3 linked regions of the Callithrix jacchus genome follow. The protein of the gene in region 1 interacts with the protein of each later gene in a pairwise test. Links are inferred from orthologs where the notes say so. Each region holds a gene or a part of one and is shown in the gene's direction. Other genes may lie near its edges.

Region 1 (2,792 bases):
GTGTTGAGTGTCAGGACTCTGGCTCTGTGCCAGCAATGAGCACATCTGCCCTCAGCCTCTGCCCTGCCTTGTTCCCAATGTCCCGCATGGCTCCTGAGCAGTGGCACCTGCTGTTGTCAGGGATGCTGACCTGCAGTTTGTCTCTGCCCCCAGATGTGGACAGTGGCTACTACACAGTCAAGTTTGACTCGCTGCTGCTGAGGGAGGCCGTGGTTGAGGGGGACAGTGTCCTTCCCCCGCTGCGCACAGAGGCCACAGAGTCCTCCGACTCAGACAGCGATGGCACGGGCGACTCCAGCTATGCCAGAGGTATGGCAGCAGCTGAAGGGCCCAAGAGGCAGGAAGGTGGGGTCACCAACCACTGCAGAGTGTGGACTACAGCGAGGCTGCTGTGCTCAGCACAGGTGGCAGCTGTGCCTGGGGAGGCAGTGTGGGGTCAGGGTGCAGGAGCATGAGTGAAGGCCGGGGTAGATCCATTGTGACCTTTGACTTGAAGGAGTGTGAGGGTGCAACAGCTACAGCCTCACTGATGGGAGGCCGTGGCCGTGGGAGGAGGGGCCTAGAGTTCCCAAGGAAGTTACAGAAATGACCAACTGCTGGGGCCTGGAGTGCAAGAGGGACAGCTTCTTTGAAAGGCTTCTCAGACTTGGGACCTGGGTACCCGGTGGAGCCTAGCAGACAGAGGTTGTGTCTGGGCAGCTAGAGTGGAAGTTTCGGGACTGGGAACTGGTGGGCAGTGTCCAGCTCTCCAGAGTGGTCAATTAGACAGGGAGGTGTACCCAGGGATCAGTGATGTGAGTTGGTGACTTCTGAAGCCCCATGTTCCCATTGAAGGAGGAGTTGACCGAGGACTCTGAGGGCAGGTAGGAGCTCATGGCCCCGCAAAGGCGGAGAAGGGCAGGGGCAGGAGAGGGCTGTAAAGGAAGGGCCACGGTGCACCAGGCCATGGGGACTGCCACGAACTCTGCCTGGTGTCACATGCCCACAGCAGACCTCGGTGACAGAGTGCAGAGCCCAAGAGGTGGGGTGTTGGGGCTCTGCCCAGGAGCTAAGCTCATGGGCCAGAGCCCCAGTCACGATGCACAGTCCTCTGGCCTGGCCCAGCCACTGCCCTCTGTCCCATCTTTTGCAGTGGTGGGGTCAGACACTGTGGACTCCGGGACCTGCAGCTCTGCTTTTGCTGGCTGGGAGGTACACACGCGAGGCATAGGCTCCAGACTCCTCGCCAAGATGGGCTATGAGTTTGGCAAGGGTGAGTGCCCGCTTTCCTTGAGAGGTGGGGGTTGGCTGCAGCACAGCTGGGGTCCCACAGCACACAGCAATACCATCCCCTCAGGTTTGGGCCGACACGCCGAAGGCCGGGTGGAGCCCATCCACGCCGTGGTGCTGCCTCGAGGGAAGTCGCTGGACCAGTGTGCAGAGATCCTGCAGAAGCGGACCAGGGTTGGCAAGGCTGGCACCAAGCCCCCCAGATGCCGCAGAAGAGGGGCCAGGGCTGGGGGCCGCCTACCCCCGCGGAACGTGTTTGACTTCCTCAATGAAAAGCTGCAAGGCCAGGCTCCTGGGGCCCTGGAGGCTGGGGTGGCCCCCTCAGGGAGAAGGAGCAAGGATATGTACCGTGCCAGCAAGAGCACCAAGCGGGCCCTGAGCCTGCGGCTCTTCCAGACCGAGGAGAAGATCGAGCGAACCCAGCGGGACATCAGGAGCATCCAGGAGGCCCTTGCCCGCAATGCTGGCCGGTATGTGTGGGGCAGAGGGCAGCCCAGGGTGGCCATGCCTCCAGTACACGTGCGGGAGGTCACCTGACCCAGGTGTGGTGGGCGGAGTCCAGGAGGGGTCTGGATGTTGGAGGACGTGTGGTGGGCACGGCAGCCTGGGATTGGTGGCAGTGGCCCAGGAGCCACACTGACTGGTGGGCCCCTCCCCAGGCATAGCGTTGCGTCAGCCCAGCTGCAGGAGAAGCTGGCGGGAGCCCAGCGGCAGCTGGGGCAGCTCCGGGCTCAGGAAGCGGGCCTGCAGCAGGAGCAGAGGAAGGCAGACACCCACAAGAAGATGACTGAGTTCTAGAGACCCACAAGCACTATGGGGAAGGTGGACCCAGCGCGGGCTGCCCTCCGCACTGGAAAACCCATGTTGCCCAAGGAGGACTGGCCTGCTGGCCTGGGGCATGCAGACGCTGCTGAGTGGAGACAGGGCTGCAGGGCCCCATCTGGACAATTACCTGCCTGTCTGCCAGTGTCTTGGGCATTTCCTTGGCAAGGACATTAAAGAGTTTTCCATCACAGTGTCATTCAGTGGAGATCAGCTGGCTGCAGGGCCTCTGGGAAGAGAAGGGTCTGTGCGGGGCTGTGGTGAGAGGCTGACTGGGCTGCAGGGGCCTAGGAGGCCAGCGTTCTCTCTTCTCTGACCAAGGCGGATCAGAGGCCAGGTTGCCTGCCAGGCACAGATGGGCAGAGCTGCCTGACACCCACAGATGGGTGGAGCTCAGTGCTGCTCCAGCAGGCGAGGGTGGGAGGACTGTGGCCCACCATGTGGGGCTCTTGGTGAGGCAGGTGGACCTGGTCTGTGGGTTCTGTGCCAGCTCTACTCACCTCTCCATGTGTGGAGGGGTTGTGAGTTAGGCTCTCAACAGTGCAGGCTAGAGGCACACACGTTTCCTCTAGGCCTCGGGTAGGGTGCAACAGGTGGGTGAGGCTGCGGTGGTGGCTGCTGCCCAGGGTGGGAGGCTGCAGGGGAGGCGCTCGGAGACGTACAGGAAGTGATGAGATGGGGCGTTCAGCTGAAGGCTGCAC
Region 2 (4,286 bases), about 33 Mb from region 1:
TCATGCACCCTGGCCCCTGCATATCTGGCACCAGGGTGGGGATCCAAGAGGAGGCAGGATGGGGGCTCTTGGGCCTCCGGGCTTCCCTGGAGAGTGAGAGTTGGGAGCACCCCTTGCCACAGGTAAACTGAGACTTAAAAAGGTAAATGTCCACAGTCTTACCACGGTAATTGGTAGAGTCAGGATTTAAACCCAGGCCTCACAGTCTTACCCCAGTAATTGATAGAGCCAGGATTTAAACCCAAGCCTGAGGGGCCCCAGAGCCCTGTCCACTTCACCATGCTGCAACCTGGGTTAGGAATCCACGTCCTGAGTTTTTGTAAGCCATGGGGCCAGGTCCAGAGGGCCGAGCCACACCTCCAAGTGGCATTGCCCACAGGTATCAGGTGTCCCTGGAAAGGTTTTCCTGAGCTGGTGGCAGAGAAAAGGGCTCTCCTGAGTGTTCAACTCCCCCATCTGTGTGAAGTGATGCCTTGGTCTTTGAGATCTCCAGTGTCTTCCAGCCTGCCTGCCAGCCTCTTGTCCTTCCTTCCACAGCACTCAGGTACATAGAGCCTTCTGCAGTGGCTCCTCCCCAGCCAGCACTTGACAGGACAGATGGGGGCTAATCTGGCCCTGCTAAGCAGTGACATGCCTCTCTTGGAGAAGGCAGGGGCTTCCTGGAACTCGCCCCAGCCTTATCAGCGGAGGTTTGCCCCAACGCATCCCAGAATCGAGCAAAAGTTCAGCGACGTGCAGCTGGCAGGTGTCGGGATCATCAATCATCCCCTTGTCAACCCTGAGCCTGCTGGGCTTTTGTGAGCGTGCCAGGGACACAGGCTGGAGGCTGGCAGGAGGGGAGTAGGGGTGGGAGGAGGAGAGTCCCTCTCCCACACCAGGGAAGGGACAAATGCTGGCTCCTCTGGTCACTTCAGCTGGACCCTGGCTTCTGTCCTCTACTTGCCCCCAGAGACGCTGCATTCCCATTCCCAGAGGCCTCCTCACTCACTCACTCACTCACTCACTCACTCACTCACTCACTCACTCACAGGATTTCGAGTTGGATAACACAGCGTAATGATTGGGAAGTGGTAACTCCCAAACTGAGAACACAGAGCTGTCCCCTTGGGGAAAAGCTCAGGGCTCGGGGCAGTGGACAAGTCCAGCTGAGGGCACAGTTGGCCTGAGCTGCTCTCTGTACAGGCAGAGGCCTTGGTAGCCGTTCGCTCCCTGTTGCTCTCTTCTGGCATGGAGAGATGAACCTGTAATCCAAGTGTTAAAACGGTGCCCTGGGGGAAAACACCATTAATTCTGAATCATCTCTTTTGTTGCATTAGAAAAAAAACAGAAGAGAAAAACTTCACAGGAGCCACTCAGGGTGTGCAGGCAGCTGTGTTTGTCAGGAAGGCAGAAGGAGTTGGCTTTGCTTTGGGGGAGGAGACCAGGTCCCACAATACCCTTAGAGGGGTATATAAGGAGCCCCAGCTGGGGGGTGGCAGATGCCCTGCTCTGAGTGCAGCCTGGCCCGGCACCTCCTGCCAGCATCTCTTGGGCTTGTTGAGAACTCACTGGCACTGGCTACCTGGCCATGACCACCACATTTCTGCAAACTTCTTCCTCCATGTTTGGGGGTGGCTCTATCCAAGGGGGTTCCCTCCTGGCGAGGGGAGGGGGCTTTGGTGGGGGGAGTCTCTATGGGAGAGGTGGAAGCCGAAGTATCTCAGCTTCTTCTGCTAGGTTTGTCTCTTCAGGGTCAGGAGGGGCATATGGGGGTGGCATGAGCAGTGGCTTTGGCGGAGGGGCTGGTAGTGGTTTCAGTGGAGGCTTTGGAGGTGGCATTGGTGGGGGTTTTGGTGGTGGCTTTGGTGGTGGCGATGGTGGCCTCCTCTCTGGCAATGAGAAGATCACCATGCAGAACCTCAACGACCGCCTAGCCTCCTACCTGGACAAGGTTCGTGCCCTGGAGGAGGCCAATGCTGACCTGGAGGTGAAGATCCGGGACTGGTACCAGAAGCAGGCCCCGACCAGCCCAGAACGTGACTACAGCCACTACTTCAAGACCATTGAAGAGCTCCGGGACAAGGTGAGTCCTCAGATGTCAAAGAGAGGGGAGCAGGTGGCTGGCGCCCTGCACATGCCTCTAACGTCAGTGTCGCTGCTGACTCGAGAAAATCCTTTCCTGCCCAGGCAACGACTGTCTGGTGTGTAGCCTCAGCAAATTTGGAATGCACCTGCTGTCCAGTGCAGAGGCTGGTGTTGGGGGAGGGAGGGAGGGGTCTTGGGAATCTGGTTAGGACCAACGGGGGCACAGTTGGGGGCAATTGTAAAGAGCAGCTTGCCGGGTGCAGTGGCTCACACCTGTAATCCCAGTGCTTTGGAGGCCAAGGTGACAGGATTGTTTGTGCCCAGGAGTTAGAGTCTCAGTGAGCTGTGGCTGTGCCATTGCACTCTGGCCTAGCTACAGAGTGAGAACCTGTCTCTAATTAAAAAATAATAATAATAATAATTAAAACGAGCAACTCACCCTGCCTACCTCATGTACGCTGCAGGCTTCTGCATAAAGTATTTCTTTATCTCTTTGGCAAGAAAAGGATTGGAGTGCAGCCTCATGAGTCCCAGATGCCTCTTGTGTTTTCCTGTAAAGAGGGCTTTTGTGCTAAAAGTACTGTTGGGCTTCAGAGACCTGGGAACCCATTACCCATTCTGCCACCCACTCACTCACCGTTTTACTCCCTGAGACTGGGTTCCTCATTGGCAAAATGCCTTCTTTAGCTGCCCTCTAGGTTGCCACTGGCTGGAATGTTCTGCAGATCCATGGCTGTGTCAAGGTGTGCAGGAGGCAGTGGCCATGACTTGGTCCACGGGGGGGCTGGTGGAGTGTCTCTGAGAGGGTCATTGTCAGAGCTGACTACACCTCACTCTTCACTCTCTGGGGCTACCAATTCCCATAGGCAGTACTGCCTCCTTGGTCTTTCATGCCCTGGAGACAAGGAGGGCAGCTCCTCAGGTGTCTCAAGGAGGCTGGCATGTGGCAGAACAAGAAATGGACACTCAAGATGAGGCTGGACTCTGCCCACCCCAGAGGCCCTACAGATGTTTGCTGGTGGTGACTGTTAGTGAGGGGCTGGCTTTGGGTGCAGAGCAGAGAGCAGCAGGGGAGAGAGAGGAGTCCTCTAGGCACCAACTCTGTCTCCTGCAGATCATGGCCACCACCATTGACAACTCCCGGGTCATCCTGGAAATCGACAACGCCAGGCTGGCTGCGGACGACTTCAGGCTCAAGTGCGCTCCCTCCTCCCTCAACTCTTCCTGCATTGCCCACTTTCCTTGGTCTTCTCCTGGCTCTGACTCAGGCGGCCCAGACCCCTCCCACTTCCTTTTTTGGCCTCCCTCTCTCCTCTCAGGTATGAGAATGAGCTGGCCCTGCGCCAGGGCGTGGAGGCTGACATCAATGGCCTGCGCCGCGTGCTGGATGAGCTGACCCTGGCCAGAACTGACCTGGAGATGCAGATCGAGGGCCTGAATGAGGAGCTGGCCTACCTGAAGAGGAACCACGAGGAGGTGAGAGGTGGCCCCCATCATCCCTGAACCTGAGAGAGGTGGGGAACCTCTTCCCAAAACGCACTTAAATTGCCCAGAGGGAACGACTTTGGCTCCAGGAAGCCCTCCCAGATTTTCCCAAGATTAAGTTGTGGGAGGCAGAGTGGGGCTGCCGGTGCTTCCTCATAGTTGGCCTGGGGCTTAGTGGTTCAGAAACACCCCCCTTGCCCCCAACCAGGTATCCTCATGGAGAGGAAGGGGCACTGTTCCCTAGTAGCCCAGACCACAGCCAAGCCGGGTGGCTAGTATGAATGGCTATCTTCCTGACTGGCTTTGTGAGCTCACATCAGGGGCCTGCCATCTCGGGGTCCTCCCTTGGTAGGACCTAGAGCAGCAGAGAGCTCCTCGGAGCTGAGGGGTCCATGAGACCAAACCTCTTCGTGTGCAATGGGGAACAGCGGTTGGGGTGTTAGGGGAAGAGCCAGGATTGGCATGTGGGAATGCAGACTCTCAGGTCTCTCTTCTGTTCTCCATCTCTAAATGGGCCCCTTCCACCCTGCAGGAGATGAAGGAGTTTAGCAACCAGCTGGCCGGCCAGGTCAACGTGGAGATGGACGCGGCACCGGGCGTGGACCTGACCCGCGTGCTGGCGGAGATGCGGGAGCAGTACGAGGCCATAGCGGAGAAGAACCGCCAGGATGCTGAGGCCTGGTTCTTCAGCAAGGTGGGCCTGACCCTTGCCCTGCCCTGCCCTGCCCTGCCCTGCC
Region 3 (4,293 bases), on another chromosome or scaffold:
TTGGAAGATGCTGCCCTCCATTCTTCATGCAGAGAAAAAGAGAAGGGAAAAATAAGAAAAGTACATGCACATTTCTCATTTAGGTTTTGGGATCCCTCTCCCCCTTCTGTCCCCTTGGGAGGTAGAAATAAGCAATCATGGGGACCTGTGTGGCTCTGCAGCAGGCCTGTCCACTCCAAGATGTACCCCCTTTGCTCTAGCTGCCTTGAACTGATGCCTTTCTGCAACCATCTCAAGAATATTTGTCAAACATGTTGTGAGGTATCCCCCCAAATGCCTGAAAGACGTGATCTTTCCCGAGATTTTACAACCCAGAGTACACATGTCCACAACCATTCCCCTCCTCCACCAATTACACTGTCCATAAGGTAAGGCCACCCAGAGACCTCTTCACAAATGACCCATTTGCTCAATCATCTCAGATGCAATCACTATTTGAAACAGTATTTGGCTTCCAAGTAAAACACACACACACTTTTTGTGGGAGTTTTATTAAAAATTAACAATGTCCCTGGCTATTAAGCTTCCAGAGTTTCCTTGTCCCTGGTTCCCTCCGGTGAATTTGGGAATTGCAAACTCCATGCTGAGGGGAGGACCCAGCCAGGGGAAGAAGAAATCAGCCCTGACTCTCTGGGTGGACAGGGGCCTGACTGCCCCCACTTCAGCCCAACTGACTTGTAGAGAGGCCCTGTGTAGTGGGAACTGGGACAGGGTGTGTCAGTGAAGGCTTTCTGAAGAAGGGGTTTGCACCTAGCAGACGAAGTGTCCTGGGGGCAGAGAAGAAGATTCCATGCAGGAGCCACAGAAGTGGATACAAGGGAAGGCCGCTGGCTGGCAGGGGTGTAGGGGGAGGTAAAGAAGAGACTAAAACAAGGAGCGGGCAGGTGGAAAGAGGAAGGTTCCTGGCGTCTGCCCAGTCCATCTAGGGAGCCCGGATTCTGATGGCAACGGAGGGGTTTTGAGAATGAAAACCCAAGCAGCCCCTGGTTGGTTGTCTGGTTCTTTCTGTGTGACTCTGGGCACCCTGCTTAAGCTCTCTGAGCCCTGGTGTCCTCATTTATAACACAGGGATGATAACAGAACTCCGTTGGAGGATGCTAGGCAAGGCTGGATCGCTTGACTGGGAGAAAAGCCGGCGGTGGCACACCCTGCGCTCTGCGTAAAGGGGCGCCTATTATCTTGGGGAAGAGGTGGACAGAGCGCCTGGCGGCGGGAGATTCGGTTGGGTAGATGGATCAAATTGACAGGATTTTCCAACACAGATTCACGCTTCCTGTGGAGAAGGTTCGTAAAAGAGCTGGTGAAGGTGTTTGTAAACAAAAGTGCAATTCAAAGGTTGCCGCGGGGGTGAAAGCACTGGGGGTTAGGGGAAAGAGAGGCTCGGAGGCTGGAAGTATTCACTTCTCCCGGGACAAGCTCCCAGCCCTGAGGATATAGACGTCTTTGCGGTCCTTCTTCCCTTACCCCCTCCCCCGGTTTACACACACACGCACAGCCGGAGCCTCTCCCGCAGCAACCCCGGGACAAGCGTGGCACAGCCCTTGCTGTATCGTTCCGTCGATGGGTTTCGGGATGAAGGGTGGAGAGCGGGTCGGCGACTAGGGGTGTAAGCAATAATGGGCCGAGTTGTATTAAATTGTCTCCAGCAGCTCCGATCGCAAAGCGGGGGGCAGGGGCGGACACACTGCGGCCTGGAGGGCGCTGAGTGCGGAGGAACGGAGCTCAGGGGCCGGCCCGGCGCTCAGCCAGCAGCGCCGCCTCCCGGGAGGAAGGCGGGGGACGGGAGGAGGGAGCTGGAGGAGGCGGAGGGCGGAGGAGGGCGGCGCGCTGAGAGGTTATTTGTGGTTCGCTTTGATCCCGAGGGGGAACCTGAAACTCTCACATTCCTGGCATAACAGCCGCCTCCAGCGCGGACCGACCCTGGGGCTGCGCGCTGGGGCGCGAACTGCCAGAGCGTCGGCGCCACTGCCGAGAATACATCTCCGCCGCCGAGCTGAGCAGGGCCGAGCCGGGGGTTGCAGTGTCTGACTGTGCTGGGCACCCGCGGGCCGCAGCGGTAAGGAAGGCCGCTTGGCGCTGGGGAGAGCGCGCGAGGCCACAGAGACGTGCCCCGGCCAAAGCCGGAGTCTCGGCGCAGCCCGGCCTTTTCCGGGAGTCGGAGCCCGGAGGATCGAGCGTACTCCGGGCGTAGTGCGCCCGTTCGAGGCAGCCGCAGTGCCAGGCAAGGGCCGCTCCGCCTGGGAGCCCAGCGCCCCTGGCTTTGCGGGGCTCTAGCAGCGCGCCGGTCCCCCGGGGCTGGGGGAGAGCGGAGAGGGCAGACTCTATAGAGGCGACGGTGTTTCGGGTTGCAGGTAGGCCGGGGTGGGGGTGACGGGGGACAGGCCTGGAGGCGCCGCTTGGGGTTCAATTTGCAGGGTCTCGCGGGTTGATTTGGTTAGGTGGGGGTTACAGGTGCCTTTGCCTCCAACTAGTCCAAGAATTCCTCTTTGTCTTCCTTGGAAAATCCTCTCTGGAGACACGAATTGGCTCTCACCTAGAAAGAATGCAGCCTGCTGTCCAGCCCGGTGACGTCAGCGCTGGAGTATTTGGAAAACAAAGAGGGCTCGAGAGGGAGGGAGGCGGACCCGCGATGCTTAAAGACTTCTCCGGGCCACGGGCTACCCTCACCGGCTAGCCCCAGGCGTACCCGCGACCACCGGCGATCCAGGTCCGCCCGGGGTCGTGGTGGAGCTGGAGTCCTGGCTGGGGTGCGAGAGTCTCCCGGCTTGGAGACTGTCACTTTGGTTCCTTAGGCGAGCTGGAGCCCAGGCCAAGGCAGCCGACGCGCGCTGGCTTAGACAGGCAGCCTTCAGAGAGCTCAGCGCGCTAGCGCAGCAGAGGGGCGCGGCCGGGGGCGCGGAAGCAGGTTTTAGTTAAGGCTCGGTCGTTTGGTATTTGAAAGGTCGTGAATCTGAGGGGCTTGGCCGGGACAAATTCGCGAGGCCTTGGAGATGTTCCTTGCTCCCAGTCCCCGCACACTGTGGAGCGCCCGGAATCTGTCGGGAAGGCTCCGCATTCCTTCCGGCCGCTCCCTTGCAGCCTCTGTGGGAGTCGGCCAGAGAGTAATTATCTTAAGGAAATGCCCCGAGATAAAACTCCAGAGCGAATTAAATCCCGTTTGCTTGCTTTGCCTCGGGTAGCGCCGGAGTCTTGCAATATCTACCCCTCGTTGTGTGTGGGGGCGCATGAATGGGTGCCAGGAAGGATTGGTACAGAGGTGCCCTCCAGACTCATACCCCAGTCCCCAGCTCTGGGCAGCTGGAGCCCGGGGTGGGGAGAGGGAAAGGATTGGGAATGGCTGTTCTGCCAACATACCATAACCCAAACTGAAGCAGGACACGGGCTAGTTTTGTGGCAGAGGAGGGGCCACATTCCTCCCACTCCCCACCAACCCCTGCCTGTTCACACAGGATGTTTGGCAGTATGGAGTCCGTTTAGTTTTCCCTGGATCCCAGTTTGGAGATTTGTGTTGGAGAAAGCCCAAGTCCAGATGATCTTCCTTGACACTGATGTCAAGAAAGATGCTGAAAGCCCATCCTCTGTTTGCTTAGAGGACCAGTGAGGGCTTTTCCAAGTAGCGTGTGTGCGTGCATGTGTGTGTGTTGGGGAGGATAATCATAAAAGACGTCGTGCCATCCTTTCTTTTTCCTGGAGCTCTCTTGCAGTTACCGTCAGCTCTAAGACTGACCCACTGACCTTAATGGGTGGCAACTTTCTGCCTCATCTCACAAAACCATTGTCGAGCCTTTTTATTCATCCCTTATTCAGAAATTCAGGTGCAATTCCTCCTCCTTCCTGTTCACCTTGCAGAATGACTGCCAAGGTCATCCCATGACAGGGAGTCCTGGATTCATTCTGTCAGCAGCCCTTGATGAAGCAGAGCCCAGGCCCACCCCCCAGGAGCTCTTTGGTTCTGGGAGAGTGAGAAAAGTGGGCAGGGGTTCAGTGGGCTAGAGGGTAGTAGGTTGACTGTGCCAGGGCTGGGCTCTGGCATGCTTCATTCTGGGGGGGGTCCTGGAGGACTTTCACCTAGGGCTTCTACTGGACTACATGCCTTCTGTATCACCTGCCAATAAACTGGGTCCCCACCCAGCCCTAGACTGAATAGCTAAGTGGTTAGATCTGAACTAGGCCTGCCTTGGAATTGCTCATCAGGCTGTTTGATGGGTAGGTGGCTATAGAGGCAGTGGTTCCTGGTGGATTATCTTCTGGTTTTCTTATGTCTTTCTCCAGGAATAGTAAGCCTCTATGAAT

The links.
Region 2: the proteins of ZGPAT (region 1) and KRT15 interact in binary tests that used the Homo sapiens proteins (3 or more experiments, as listed by UniProt). The two-hybrid records come from large-scale screens. The link is inferred for Callithrix jacchus from reciprocal best matches to the Homo sapiens genes ZGPAT and KRT15.
Region 3: the proteins of ZGPAT (region 1) and AMOTL2 interact in binary tests that used the Homo sapiens proteins (3 or more experiments, as listed by UniProt). The two-hybrid records come from large-scale screens. The link is inferred for Callithrix jacchus from reciprocal best matches to the Homo sapiens genes ZGPAT and AMOTL2.

The regions. Positions count from the first base shown.
Region 1 is NC_133506.1:59,226,017-59,228,808, forward strand, and holds the end of ZGPAT (zinc finger CCCH-type with G patch domain-containing protein), read left to right. Parts: intron 1-153; coding exon 154-309; intron 310-1,132; coding exon 1,133-1,252; intron 1,253-1,336; coding exon 1,337-1,739; intron 1,740-1,928; coding exon 1,929-2,067; 3' UTR 2,068-2,282; downstream 2,283-2,792. UniProt on the Homo sapiens protein: Transcription repressor that specifically binds the 5'-GGAG[GA]A[GA]A-3' consensus sequence. Represses transcription by recruiting the chromatin multiprotein complex NuRD to target promoters.
Region 2 is NC_133506.1:91,737,691-91,741,976, forward strand, and holds the start of KRT15 (keratin, type I cytoskeletal 15), read left to right. Parts: upstream 1-1,476; 5' UTR 1,477-1,567; coding exon 1,568-2,062; intron 2,063-3,178; coding exon 3,179-3,261; intron 3,262-3,383; coding exon 3,384-3,540; intron 3,541-4,081; coding exon 4,082-4,243; intron 4,244-4,286.
Region 3 is NC_133518.1:49,808,362-49,812,654, forward strand, and holds the start of AMOTL2 (angiomotin-like protein 2), read left to right. Parts: upstream 1-1,483; 5' UTR 1,484-1,606; intron 1,607-1,865; exon of another isoform or gene 1,866-2,351; intron 2,352-2,665; exon of another isoform or gene 2,666-2,707; intron 2,708-4,293. UniProt on the Homo sapiens protein: Regulates the translocation of phosphorylated SRC to peripheral cell-matrix adhesion sites. Required for proper architecture of actin filaments.